Drosophila melanogaster: one gene and its partner. Changing the gene in region 1 together with any one later gene gives a genetic interaction. Each region holds a gene or a part of one and is shown in the gene's direction. Other genes may lie near its edges.

Region 1 (7,718 bases):
ACATACAGACAGAAGGGGCTTTAACAAGTCGATAGCACATAAAACCAGAATAACATGATATCGGCAAACTAAGGTTTATATACTCTTCCAATTAAAACAATGTCTTGGATAAAGTTTTTTAACCCGTGCCACTAACGTAGACGACCGATACATGCCAGTCAGTCCCCTTGTCCGTCGGTCCATCTTTATAAAAGTCAAAACCTATAAAACTATAGATATCAAAAAATTGAAGTTATCCGTCCAGATTCTAGTAACTCCTACGAGGCTTTTGCTTGTATCAAAACGTAAATTATTTATTTGTTATGTCTATGTACATGTATGTATATGATGAAAACAACCAACAACAAAATATTCGTATTCTATTTCTAGTTTGATGCAATCGTTTCGAAGGAAGTAAAAAGTAAATGTAGCCAATAATTGTAGGTATTCCGGTGAAGTTACGTATACATCCTCTTTGTTCTTTCTGTTAAATATTCTTCAGAGAGTACGGTTTACCCTTTTTTTGTTAACAAGTAAAGGATAAAGAAATATTATCTGCTGGGCTTTTCCTTATATCGATTTGCATAACTAAAATCAGCAAAATAATAGAATACTTACTCGAATTTCACATTTGGAAAGTATGTAACAACCAGAAGGAAGCGTTTCCAACCATATAAAGTGTGATCAGGATCAATAGCCGAATCGATCTGGCCTTGTCCGTATGTCCGTGTATCCGTGTGTCCGTCCGACCGTCTGTCCGACCGTCTGTTCGACCGTCCGTCTTTCCGAATGAACTCGAAATCTCATGTACTGTACGTAAACGTAAAAGCTTGAGATCAGCATACAGATTCAAGCGACATAGACGCAGCGCAAGTTTGTTGACAGATGTTGACACGACCACTCTAACGCCCACAAAGCGCACAAAACTGGCACGCCCACATTTTTGAACAATTTGTGGATAGTTTTTCATAATTTCATCTAACGCCCACAAACTGCACAAAACTGCCACGTCCACACTTTTGAAAAATGTTTTTATATTTTCTCATACATACTTTTTCATACAAGACTAATAATCTTGTAAATTTCTATCGATCTGCAAAAAACATTTTTGCCACGACCACTCAAAGCGCTAAAATCGACCAAAACTGCTACTCCCACGTTTATGAAAATGTATTGGATATTTTTCATAATTTTATTAGTCTTGTAAATTTCTATCGATTTGCCAAAAAACGCCCAATATAAAGCCCGCAAACCACGAATAACAGGTATAACAATTTTTTCCCATTTTATTTCCCCCTAATATCGATATCCCAGAAAAATGATGAAATTTTGCGTTCGCATTCGTACTAGCAAATGAATATAATATTAATATTTATATCTTGATTTGAATCTAACTGAATTGGACGTAAAGTTTTACAGATAAATCTGTTAATGTTTAGGCGCACATAGATCGACACAAGATCGACTGCTAATTTGGAATTTTGGGTAAACGATTCCATCTACGCTTAACAACATTTTTATTTATTAGTTACGATTACGATTTAAAAATGATTTAGGTTATTGAAATTCATCCATTTGAATCTGCCGACTTTTTAATCGTGAAAGGAAGCATATATCGATAGCATCGATATTCTTTCTAATTTGAATGGCAACAGATATTTCTGGTGCAAATATGGCAACGCTGAAATATTGTTATTTTCAAGAAAGCTTTTGAAAAGCTTAAAGTGTCATCTTAGTTTCACAAAGTATGCAATGTCATTTAGCAACCAACGGAGATACAAAATATTGTTTCCGTGCTAAAAGGAAAAGCATAATACATTTATAAATCGTGAAAATGTGATAGTGTCCCTAATATTTCTCGTGAAGAAATATATTTACTTAGTTGAAAATTTATTGTTTCTAAAAAGAAAAAGGTGATACATATTGTTACATACACTGATCATAAGCCTATACACATAACCACCTTCCTTCTTACATATGTACAAATTTTTTTGTTGAACGCATGCTTTTAATTCCTCTTCATCCCTTTCCGCTGCTAGGCTTCTAAGTAACCACCATTCAGGCGTAGGTCTTTTCATCTGGACACAGTCTGTGTGTCGCCTTGAGTTCTTCAGAAGGGACGGATGAGTCTGTCTGTCCGCTTCTGTTGGTGCATGGTATGAAGTATTTCTGGCGTAATAATAACTGTGCCATCCGAAGCTCGGCGTCAGGTTTAGACTAATTTTAATGTGTTGTACCCTTTCAAAGTGTATATTGATTTAAGTCAGTTTCTTGCAACGCAGTAAAGGAGACAATTACGACCACACGAAGAATATATGTTCATCTGTATGGCTAGCAGTAAGAGCCGTAACCGTCCGTCCGTTTCAACGCAAACTGGTTCAATTACTGGTTAATTATCAAGTAAACAAGTATTCGGAGAATATATCATTTAAGATTTGTATACCCGTATATATATTCCCTTACTCGTAGAATCAAAGGGTATACTATATACGTTAAAAAGTAAGTACCATGTAGAAGGGAGCATTGCCGAGCATACAAAGTATATACAGGGTGCGGCAGCATAATTTCCTTTTTCAGAACTCAATGAAAACTATTGTAGGCATCGGAAAAAATTTATTTTTTTTTATATTGTACGTACATGTCATATTTTTTGAAGATGAAATCTGATAGGTGACGTCCCCCATTCTCCATACATTGCGTAAACCGATTTCTGGCGTTTGTCGTGAGTCTTGTTAGCATGGCAGGTGTTATGATGGCAATTTCTTCTTGGATGTTGGTTTTCAAATCTTGTAGGGCTCTTGGACGGTTCACATAAACACGGGACTTCAAAAAACCCAATAGAAAAAAATCACAAGGGGACAGATCGTGCCGGCCATTCCAAATCGCCTCTAATTGAGATAAGGCGCTCTGGAAAGTGTTCCCTCAAAACAGCCATCGATGCTCTTGAAGTATGTGCTGTTGCACCGCCTTGTTGGAACCAATTTTTGTATATAAAAAACACTTTGGCCACAAAACGAGCGAAACGGTCACGCCCACATTTTCAAACAAATTTAAAACTTTTTCGTATCTTTTTGCACAATATTTATAAATATCCCTGAAAAATTATGAAACTTCGCATCGGGGAAGTCGACTATAGCTTTCTCCGGTGTTTTTAATTTATTTGCCAATTTGTAGCCTCCTCTCTTGTTTAGTGTCCATATTAATTTCCAGTTAGCTTACCACTTATCTAATCGAAAATTTGTATTTTGAACAGGCAGACGAAATGAACGACAGAAAGGAAAGGAAAGGAAAAAGATTTGCAATGATTAAAAAAATATTTACCAGAAAAATAAAATTGACAATACTTGTACCACGTTTCTAAGGGACAGTGCCTGTACTACACGCTTGCCATATATCAAAGATGCGATTTGCCTTCGATTCTAATCATTCGCAATCGGGGGCGCCATTCAAAGGCAGCAGGTGTTTCTTTAATTGTCAATGCATCTGCTGTCGCCAAGGATGCTGCGTTGTGGTTGTAAAGTGCTGTTGCTGCTTTAACTTAAACTGCTGCAACAGCCTTGGCTCCCGGAAGTCATTTCCACAACCCGCTGCAATGCGTAAAAAAGTTGCTGACCTCGAAGTCCTTAGAGTATCAAGGTTTGTGGCGGTTATTTTAGTGCTGGCTCGGTGGGTTACTGCGGTAGCGACACTCCTGACAAGCTGCATACTCCTAGACATATTTTCCGTGCCTGGCCAGTCTGGAGTTGCAGATAGAAGCCAAGCCAGCAGTAGGACAGTGCACGTCTCGGTTCCTACCACACCTAATGAAACTCCCAGTAGCACTTCGGAGACGAAGCTAAAGTTGCTTTATGGGTATACATCGTATGACATAAATAACGACCAACAGGTAAAGTCCAACAATTTATGTAGAGTGCTTTGTAAAAGTCGCAATCGTAAACGACAGCGAAGGAGGCGACGCCGACGCAATCACAGACGACGCAGGCACAGATATACTAAGCGACTTCATCATCTAATGCAAGATAATATGAGCGGCTTTGAGCAAAGACTTAATTTTAGCGATGCCAAATGCCAGTCTTTGGAGACAAATTACGGAACTAATTATGACTTAGTACAAGGAGGTAAACTATTTAGTCAGTCAGAGAGAAGCCTACTGGTGTCCCCTTTGAGGGAAATTGAAGCACCTTGGCCAGCGATTCATGGTTCAATGCGTAACTGTTCAAAGATTAAACGCAATAGAGCCAATCTTATTTGGCTTCTAATTGGACTCGTCTGGTTTGAAGTCAAACTTATAAATTGCAATGGGATCAGCAGTAGTAATTATTATGCTTCGAATTTGGAGAGTCACAAGGGCTGCACCTTGTGCCATGAAAGCGGAAAGCCCAACATATACACCGATAAAGGTCAGTTTTCAAAAAAATTTTTTACATACTGAATATAGGGTAATCTTTTAATATTCTTATTGAGACTAAAAAAAACTACATTGAGTTTGGCGTTATTAAGATAAAACAGATGTGAGTTGTTGTGAAATAAGCGGTTATCGTACTGTACCAAAACTATTGCAATGCAGAATTTTTTGTAAAATAAATTTAATTTGTAAGATTTTTGTGCTATTTTTAAGTAAAATAAAATCATTTTCAATGATTAAATTAAATATCTATTGACAAATGTTGTACCACTAGTAATGTAAATAATATTTAATACAAGGACCACCCGCAGTAAGCCTGGGATATTCATACCCCCTTAAAAGGGTAAATAACAAAAAATACAAAATATCTAGAACAAATTTTCATAGTCTGGGTGAGTTTTTATCTTAATATTGCAATTTGTTTATCTTAAGGATTGGAAAAATTTGCTTGCTACACGATTAATTTCGTACATATTTTTGAATTAAAACATTACGAGTCTTGAAAGGTATTCCTGTCTCGTCTAATTTTATTGTCATAAAATAAAAAAATTATATATTGTTCTTAACGTAAAAACGAAGGAAATGTCGCTCCAGTGACGTAAATATGTACAATACTAGTCAAACTCGGTATTGCAAAAAAAAACAGTAGAGGTCATAGGCGCTGGATTTCAGAAACTATAAATAGATTTGATTATTGATTTTATTTCTTTTCGAGATTTTTGTGAACCATAAAAATAAATCCAAATCTTAAAATAATAATGCTAGCAAGACAAAAAAATATTTTTAAAAAACGATAAAACTTGTGTGATATCGGGTAATGAAACTTTACTAAAAACATAAAAACACTCCATACAACAACAAAAATTTATATAATGAATTTTACATAACACTTTACAATTATCACATTCACACAGATAATCCACACACAGACTACAACATCTACAACAAATACCATTCCAACAATAATTTCAACAAAAAAACTAATCAACCCCATAACAACATTGCACCCAGCGATGAAGTTCGTTTGGAGTCAATAAAACGGCAAATTTTGACAAAGCTTGGTCTTAGCCACAAGCCTAATGTATCTCATCCTTTACCAAAGCAATTTATTTGGGAAACAATATATCGAGTCGATGGTGGACGAATGATACCAAACAATGCATTTGGGAGCAGTGGTAAGAATTTAGATCAGAAGACTATCAAGCTGAGGGCGTTTGCCTCGCCCGGATCACATTTGTTTAATGGCCGAGGTGGAAGGACCGATCAGAGAAGCGAACGGGATCCCAGTCATCATAAATATCGATCCCCGTTCGATTTCACTTTCAATATAAGTAAAAATAATGTATATGGGAAAGTATTGAGAAATCGTTCTTTAGAACGAATCGATAAAAAAAACTCATTCTTAAACGGATGGACAGAAAACCGTCAATTAAAAATAAACTCTCAAATTGCATCTATGCCTATAGAACTAAAGAGCCACCATAACAGTAGTCCTAAGGAGCTTAAAAGCGGAGCGGTCAGAAAAGTTAATGGCATCAACGGCACACAAATGAATGAGAATGCCTTAAAAAAATCTACATATCCTATAGATATAAATCATAGTATTGATAATAAAACCCATACTGGCAAAAATGGTGAGATGAGCCACAATGATTATGAATATTTTAACGATTACAGTGTTCAGACTCATGATAAAAACCGGTACCATGAAGGTCGCTCTAGCATTGGATATCAGCCAGCGATCCACAACATAGAATATGAAAATCAGAAAGGACATCACGAATCTTTTGCTGATGATCATGAAAATATTGATCATGAAGACTTCTTTGGAAATACGCAGGAAATAATTACATTTGCTGAAGAGGGTGAGTAGATTTTTATTCAACACAGGATTAAACGCTATCGTCGAGGGCAAATTAAAAAATAAGAGACGTCGAGTTCGCCGACTATCAGATACCTGTTACTATAAATAAGTAAATATAAATTTTATTTTATACCCGTTATAACTAGTGGGTACGCAAACGCGAAATTTCATAATTTTGCTGGGATATCGTTGGATATTACGGGGAAATAAAATGAGAAAAAAATTGTATAATTCTTTAATAGTGAGGGAGTGAGCCTCTTGGGCGTTTTGTTGGTGAAAGGATGTGCGTGATCACAGTGTTTTGGTATACCGGTGGAAATTAGCAAGACAAACAATAAAACAAAGAAAAATCTAAAAAAAATTTTCTAAAGTGTGGGCGTGGCAGTTTTTTGGCAAATCCATAAAATTTTAAAAGACTAATAAAATTATGAAAAAATATCCACAAATTTGTCAAAAAAAAAAAATTGTCGGCGGCATTTTTTGGGTCGTTAGAGTGGGCGTGGCAAAAAGTTTGTTGACAAATCGATAAAAAAAAATGTACAAGACTACAGACTAAAAATATGAGAAAATATCAAAACTTTTTCAAAAGTTTTCGGAGGTTTGTGGGAGTTGGCTCAACACACGTGCGATGCGTTTAGGTGTCTACAATCGGTATGCTTCTAGCTAGTATGCTTCTAACCTTCTAGCTTTTATAGTTCATGAGATCTAGACGTTCCATACAGACATGGCTAGATTGATTCGGCTATTGATCCTGATCAAGAATATATATACTATATATAGTCGGAAACGATTCTTCCTGCCTTTAACATACTTTACTATACTATACTATACTATATACTATAGTTACTATTATATATTATTATATTATAATATATATTAATATATAGTAATAGTAATATACAGTAATAAAAATAAGAAAGAGTGATCGTGCCCAAAAAACATTAGGCAAATCAGTAGAAACCGGCTTGTGGCGGTATGTATGGCATACCGATAGAAATTGGCAAAACAAATTATATAATGACTAAAAATAAAAACGCTTTCTTAAAAGTGTAAGCGTGGTAGCTTGTGAGAGTGCTTCTTCTCTGAAATTTTTAATTTTTTATCTGAACTTTCTAGATTTTACAGGCCCTGACATCGATACGATCGATATGGACAAAAACGAATATATTTAAATACGTTATATTAAAGTTGAAGTAGTTGAGGTTTTTTTAATGTCTACCAATATCCGCCATCTCTAACGCCTACAAAACGCTTAAGAGTACATTTTATATACAAAGCTTTGATTTTTAGTTAACTGTACAAAAATTGTAAACTTTACAATATATCTGTTTTTGAAGAAAAAAAACAATGCAATATATTTTTTTGTAATTCGCTCATATGACTGTGTGTAGTCTTCTTATTCATTGGCATAATATATTTTATTTTAAGGAACCCAATATCGACAATATCGAATACTCGAGTTTTCGGCCC
Region 2 (4,973 bases), on another chromosome or scaffold:
TTAAACTAACTCATTTTTCTCAATGTTTGCAAAAGCATATTTTCACCCATAACACGTGCGGCTGTTTCTCTGGAGAACTGGACACTGACTACGTGCGGTCATTAATAGTTGGCAACTGCTCCTGGATTGTCTCGCTCATACACGATAATCTCGACACCTCCTGGGCCTTTCGGCCCAAACAAATCGAGATTTGGGCGATTATGAAATTGGCAATTAGTTGACTGTTGTGTGACAGCTGTTCGATTTCAGGTAGCATCGACTTTGAGCCCAGCATATGGCTGGCTCTTCAGCACACTCAAGCATTCAGGGAATCGCACTTGACAGCCGTGAAGCGTCGACTCTTAGACGAACGAGCCACTTTGGGAGGCGTTCACCTGTCTGAAGTCAGAAATTAGTGACTTGGTTTGCTCGTCGTTGGTGTGTTAGGGAGAGGGGGAGTGGGGAAGGACCTATTAACGGACCGGGTGAATTATGATTACGGGATGGCATGCATGGCTTTATAGCATGTAGCCCCCGATTATGTGCAGATTTATTGCAGCTAAAAATCAACGCTAATATAATGCATAAATCAGAGTGCCAAAATCAACATATATGTAGTAGGTACTCTCTTGTGTGTGTGTGTGTGTGTGCCAGTGCACCAGAAGGAGGTCCTGCGAAGGATTCGCCAGAGTGGCCTGTGAACCAAGTGAAATTCAGCGAAAACGAAACATTTTGCCAAAGTTGTTGGGTGGCAAAAGTGGGTGTTGCGAGTGGGTGGTGCCGAATCGGGTGGTGATTCTCAGAGAGCAAAAGAGAGAAAGAGGCCAGCATATTGAGGGCGTCTCTCAGCAGGATTTTGTCTTTGCAGATTTTCGCGCAGTCGCACTGATTTCCCAACTTCCAGTGGCGGAGTTTTCCTCTCGCTCGGTCTGCAAGGGAAATATTCTGTCGCTCGAGCACGGGGAAACTGGGTTTTCTCGGCCACGGCAGCAGATGTTGGCTAATTGAAGCATTACAACGTAGGTCAGGCTCACCCTGAGTTGTGGGAACTTTATGACTGGCCAAAAGTGACGATGCGAATGGACCGTCGAGGCTGCACGGACCACCAAATGCAGGTAGAAATCATAGATCATCGCTGATGATGTACCACATTCTTGGGCATAATTAAAAAGCCATTTAAGCGGGGGGTTCGCTCGCATTATCCAATTATATGGCCCATGGCAGGGGCCTACGCTACGGTTCTTTGGCTACTCAAACAGAAATGTTTTGGGTGTTTGGCACTTAACACATTTCCACATGGCTTCACTCTTTCAACTTTGAGCGGGCTGCGCAGGCGCTTTTCGCCTTTTCTGAGCGCCAAACGAGTTGGGAGTTTGGCGGTGAAACTGGTTTTTGGGTCACAGTCACATCGAAGGGCCCGCCGACAGTTGAGAACAGGTAAACTCGAGATAATTATTCAATGAAGCCGAGCGGCCGCGCAGAAGGGCTTCCCACACACAAAAAAAAAAAAACATTGGTAAAGTGTTGACCAAAGAGTTTTGGTAACTGCAGCGCTAAAACAAATATTCAAGCAAGCCTTGGAAATCATGCAAATATCTGAATGTATTAGGTGTTTTCTTAGGTCTCATTTCTACAAGAACAATTGCTGGAAACATATTCCTGGCCTGAATTACACCGCATTTGTTTCGAGTGCACTGCACTCCCCTGAATTCTCGTGGTTCTCTGCTGTCCGGTCCGTCGTCGTCGGAAAGCCATGTCAAAGGGTTAGGACAGGTTCGCTGGCCACATTCGCTCGGCCCGAAGCTGAATCGGAATATGGCATTAGCCAGCATCATATAGTATAAGAGAGTATAGGCTCTCTCTTTCTCGCCGAAGCAGCGCGCTCTCTCGCTCTCTCTCTCTCTCGCAATCTCTCTGTTCGTGCAGCAAATGCCGTCTCTTTTTCGAGTGGCAAATCGAGCACTCCTGACGCAGATTCAGTACTCAATTGTTGTTCCACCACGGCGTACGTGAACGCGGACGAAATCCGTAGAGTCCAAAGCAATCAGAAATCCCATTTCAATCGCAGCGTTCAGTGGCCGTAAGTGCTGTCTCGCTCTCGCCTTTTCCCAGTGTCTCTGTGTGTGTGTGCGTGTGTTTGTGTGCGACTAGGAAAATTGTTCAAGTTATGGATACGCAAATTGATGGAAAATGATGAGTGAATAAAAGAAAAACAAAGCAAAAAGCGGGCGGCAATCAAGCGGAACGTCACAAATTCAAATCACCACCGGAAAAGGGGTGGGAAAACGCTCTCCCAATTGTGCGTGTGTGTGCGTACATATGTGTGTGTGTCTGTGCTGAAGTGGAAATTCGCTCGCGTTTTCGGCGCTTTTCACGCTCCTTTGGCCAGAATCGGAAAAACAGGACCACACCCGCGCGGGTGCAAAACTTGAAAATGGGGAAGAAAAAAAAAGCAGCAGAACAGCCAAGAAAAACAGCGCTGCAAGAAAAATTCCAGTTTCCCAAAGGATCGCAAAGAGAGTGACAGAGAGTTATAAGAGACATTTCTGAAAACTTGTACTGGCTGCAAAGTTCTCAATGGGGGGGTTTTTCGGGCCAGGACAGTTGCGCAAGTGAGCAGTTACCGTTATTGGGGAATTTTGGCCAACAAGATAGCCGTTACGCATCAGCTGATTGCTTGGAAGGGAAAATAGAAGGACCTTTTCCAACAGACATACCAGCATATAGAAACTTAAGAATATTTTAATTTTTAAAAATATTTAAAGTTTCAACAAAGAGTCTGTTAAATATTTATTTTTAAAACTTTATCAATACCAATATCCTTTATGGAAATATCTAATGATGTTAGGCAGCGTTGAAAATATTAAAACAACAAGTTTCCTATCCTAATGTTTTAGCACCAGCTTGATAACTTTTCGAGCATAGCTTGCTCAAAAAATTGCCAAAAAATTAAACCCCATATTTTCCCGCTGAGCACTTTTCCCCACTGCCTTGGAAAACTGGTTCTCTCTGTTTCTGCTTTTTGGCCTGTGCAGCCGTCGCGATTTTCCAGCGAGCTGTTCGACAGGCCCGTCGTCAGTCGGAGTTTTCAAAAAACGCCAGGCAATTGGTGTGGCGGCGACGCACAGCTGTGAGTTTCAGTTTATGGTTTCGACCTGTGATTTTGGCCCGACCAAGTGGAAAAAACAGTGGGAGGATGCTAATAAAGCAGCTCGCCAAGTGACAATTATATAATGCATATAAGGCGTATAGTTCGTATAGGGCGTACATATAAGGCGTAGCCACCGCATTGACCCATGAGTCACGTGTTTCGGAGTGTGTGCCGCAGTGAAATCCACAAATGCCGAAGGACCTTTATTTGTTGACCAGACCCAGTGGTGACAATTGCCACAACCCATGCTCATATTTTTGATTTTACGCCGTATTGATTTTATTTGTTGTGCATAAAAGGCGCGTTTATACGCAGAGTCCTCGCATCGCCATTCATTTTACGCCTTATGTCTTATGAGTTTTGCCTTTGTTCTGAAGCACTCAATCAACCATTTCCCCCAATCAAATTGGAATAACATAAAAATCCTTTGTGCAGCCCCACGTAAAAGTCAACGGTTTCAAAGTCCTTCGTCAAACGCATACGCCCAGTGTACTCGAAGTGGAAAGTGTCATAAAGTATGCGATTATCCTGTAAACAAAGTGTAAAACGCGCCCAGTAAACGCCGAAAACGAAAGGCGAACAGCAAACAACTCCCGGATTTTACGACTTGAGCAATCAAACTCGCCTGGTCACTCACCAACTTGAGGACTCCCGGACTGTAGGACTCCAGGAGTGCAGGACTCTTGGAATTGGCCAGTACACAACTATAGAATTGGATCTGGGCACGTCGTATAATGATTGCGCAAGTGAGGTGAGTCACCACCCATTAGGGTCCAAAATGTCGATATACTCTAAATTGTAATGTAAGCGAAATCCTCGGGGAAAACTACTGCAGCTACAACAGCTACAGCAGCAACTAAAACTAAAACATCGCCAATTGCACACACATCGAACAGAACAATCAAATGCTCCAATGTCCGCAGGCAAGAATTTAATTAAAATTTATGAAATTTCAATTACATCGGCAAGTGTAAATAAGTGCGGTTGCGAGCATTACGGGCCCAATTCAATTACGAAATTTTCAAAAGGCCAGAAAAAAGTACTCTGGCCCAGAAAAACAAACAATCGAACCGAACCGAACTGAACTGGGCCAGAAAGCAGAAAACAAACGGCAAATGCCAGGCGGGAATCGAAGGGATCGGTTTTCGAGAGGGGATTGCAGTTTCGGTGGCTCGAAACGGATGGAGGGGCTTGATTGGTTTTGTGGCTTTGTATCTTGCTAGGAGGAGCTTCCAGCGTGGCTAGATCTGACCATCTGTAGTTCGAAATAACAAAGCAGCAAACATGTGTAACCGATGACGACAAAGACGGGGACAGATGATAAAGACAAAGGGTTATTAGTGGTTCCGTTGGCCAGGAAATTGCAATTCCCATAGAGGGACACACCATACGGATACGGATCCATGGCTTTGCGCTTCGCTTCAATCGCTCCACTCGCCTCTTGGCAGTCATTTATTCGAATATTCGAATTTCCACCCCGCCCCACAAATGCTTAATATTGATAAATGAAGTAGTTGTTTGCCCATTTCGCTCCACACAAAATGGGCTTACTACGCCCACTCCAAGGAAATACGGAGTAAATTTGGGCCTGTCTGTCGACGGGTCCCTGAAATGCCAGCAATCATCGGTGGATCGATTTACCATTACATTTGGTGCATGCCAGATATTTACATGTAAATATATAAAGGCTGTAAGTGGGTGCTTGCGTGACTGCCGACTAAGGTCACTTGGTAACCTATTCAAACGAGTTACGACCTCGCTTAGCGGCGATAACGATAACGATAGCGATAACTATGCTCGCACACGAATGCAGGCAAAAGCGACGCGCCATAAGTGTAAACAT

What was found. Genes that interact genetically often act in the same process or in processes that back each other up.
Region 2: of Actbeta (region 1) and tutl, changing one enhances a phenotype caused by changing the other (phenotypic enhancement), as found in Drosophila melanogaster (one study listed by BioGRID).

The regions. Positions count from the first base shown.
Region 1 is NC_004353.4:1,078,788-1,086,505, reverse strand, and holds the start of Actbeta (Activin-beta), read left to right. Parts: upstream 1-1,709; 5' UTR 1,710-1,892; intron 1,893-3,232; 5' UTR 3,233-3,379; coding exon 3,380-4,379; intron 4,380-5,298; coding exon 5,299-6,249; intron 6,250-7,676; coding exon 7,677-7,718. UniProt on the Drosophila melanogaster protein: Controls several aspects of neuronal morphogenesis; essential for optic lobe development, EcR-B1 expression in larval brains, mushroom body remodeling, dorsal neuron morphogenesis and motoneuron axon guidance.
Region 2 is NT_033779.5:4,281,194-4,286,166, forward strand, and holds the start of tutl (turtle), read left to right. Parts: upstream 1-1,954; 5' UTR 1,955-2,059; intron 2,060-3,056; exon of another isoform or gene 3,057-3,109; intron 3,110-3,507; exon of another isoform or gene 3,508-3,565; 5' UTR 3,566-3,881; intron 3,882-4,973. UniProt on the Drosophila melanogaster protein: Essential protein that plays a role in the establishment of coordinated motor control. In the developing eye, involved in axonal targeting of the R7 photoreceptor.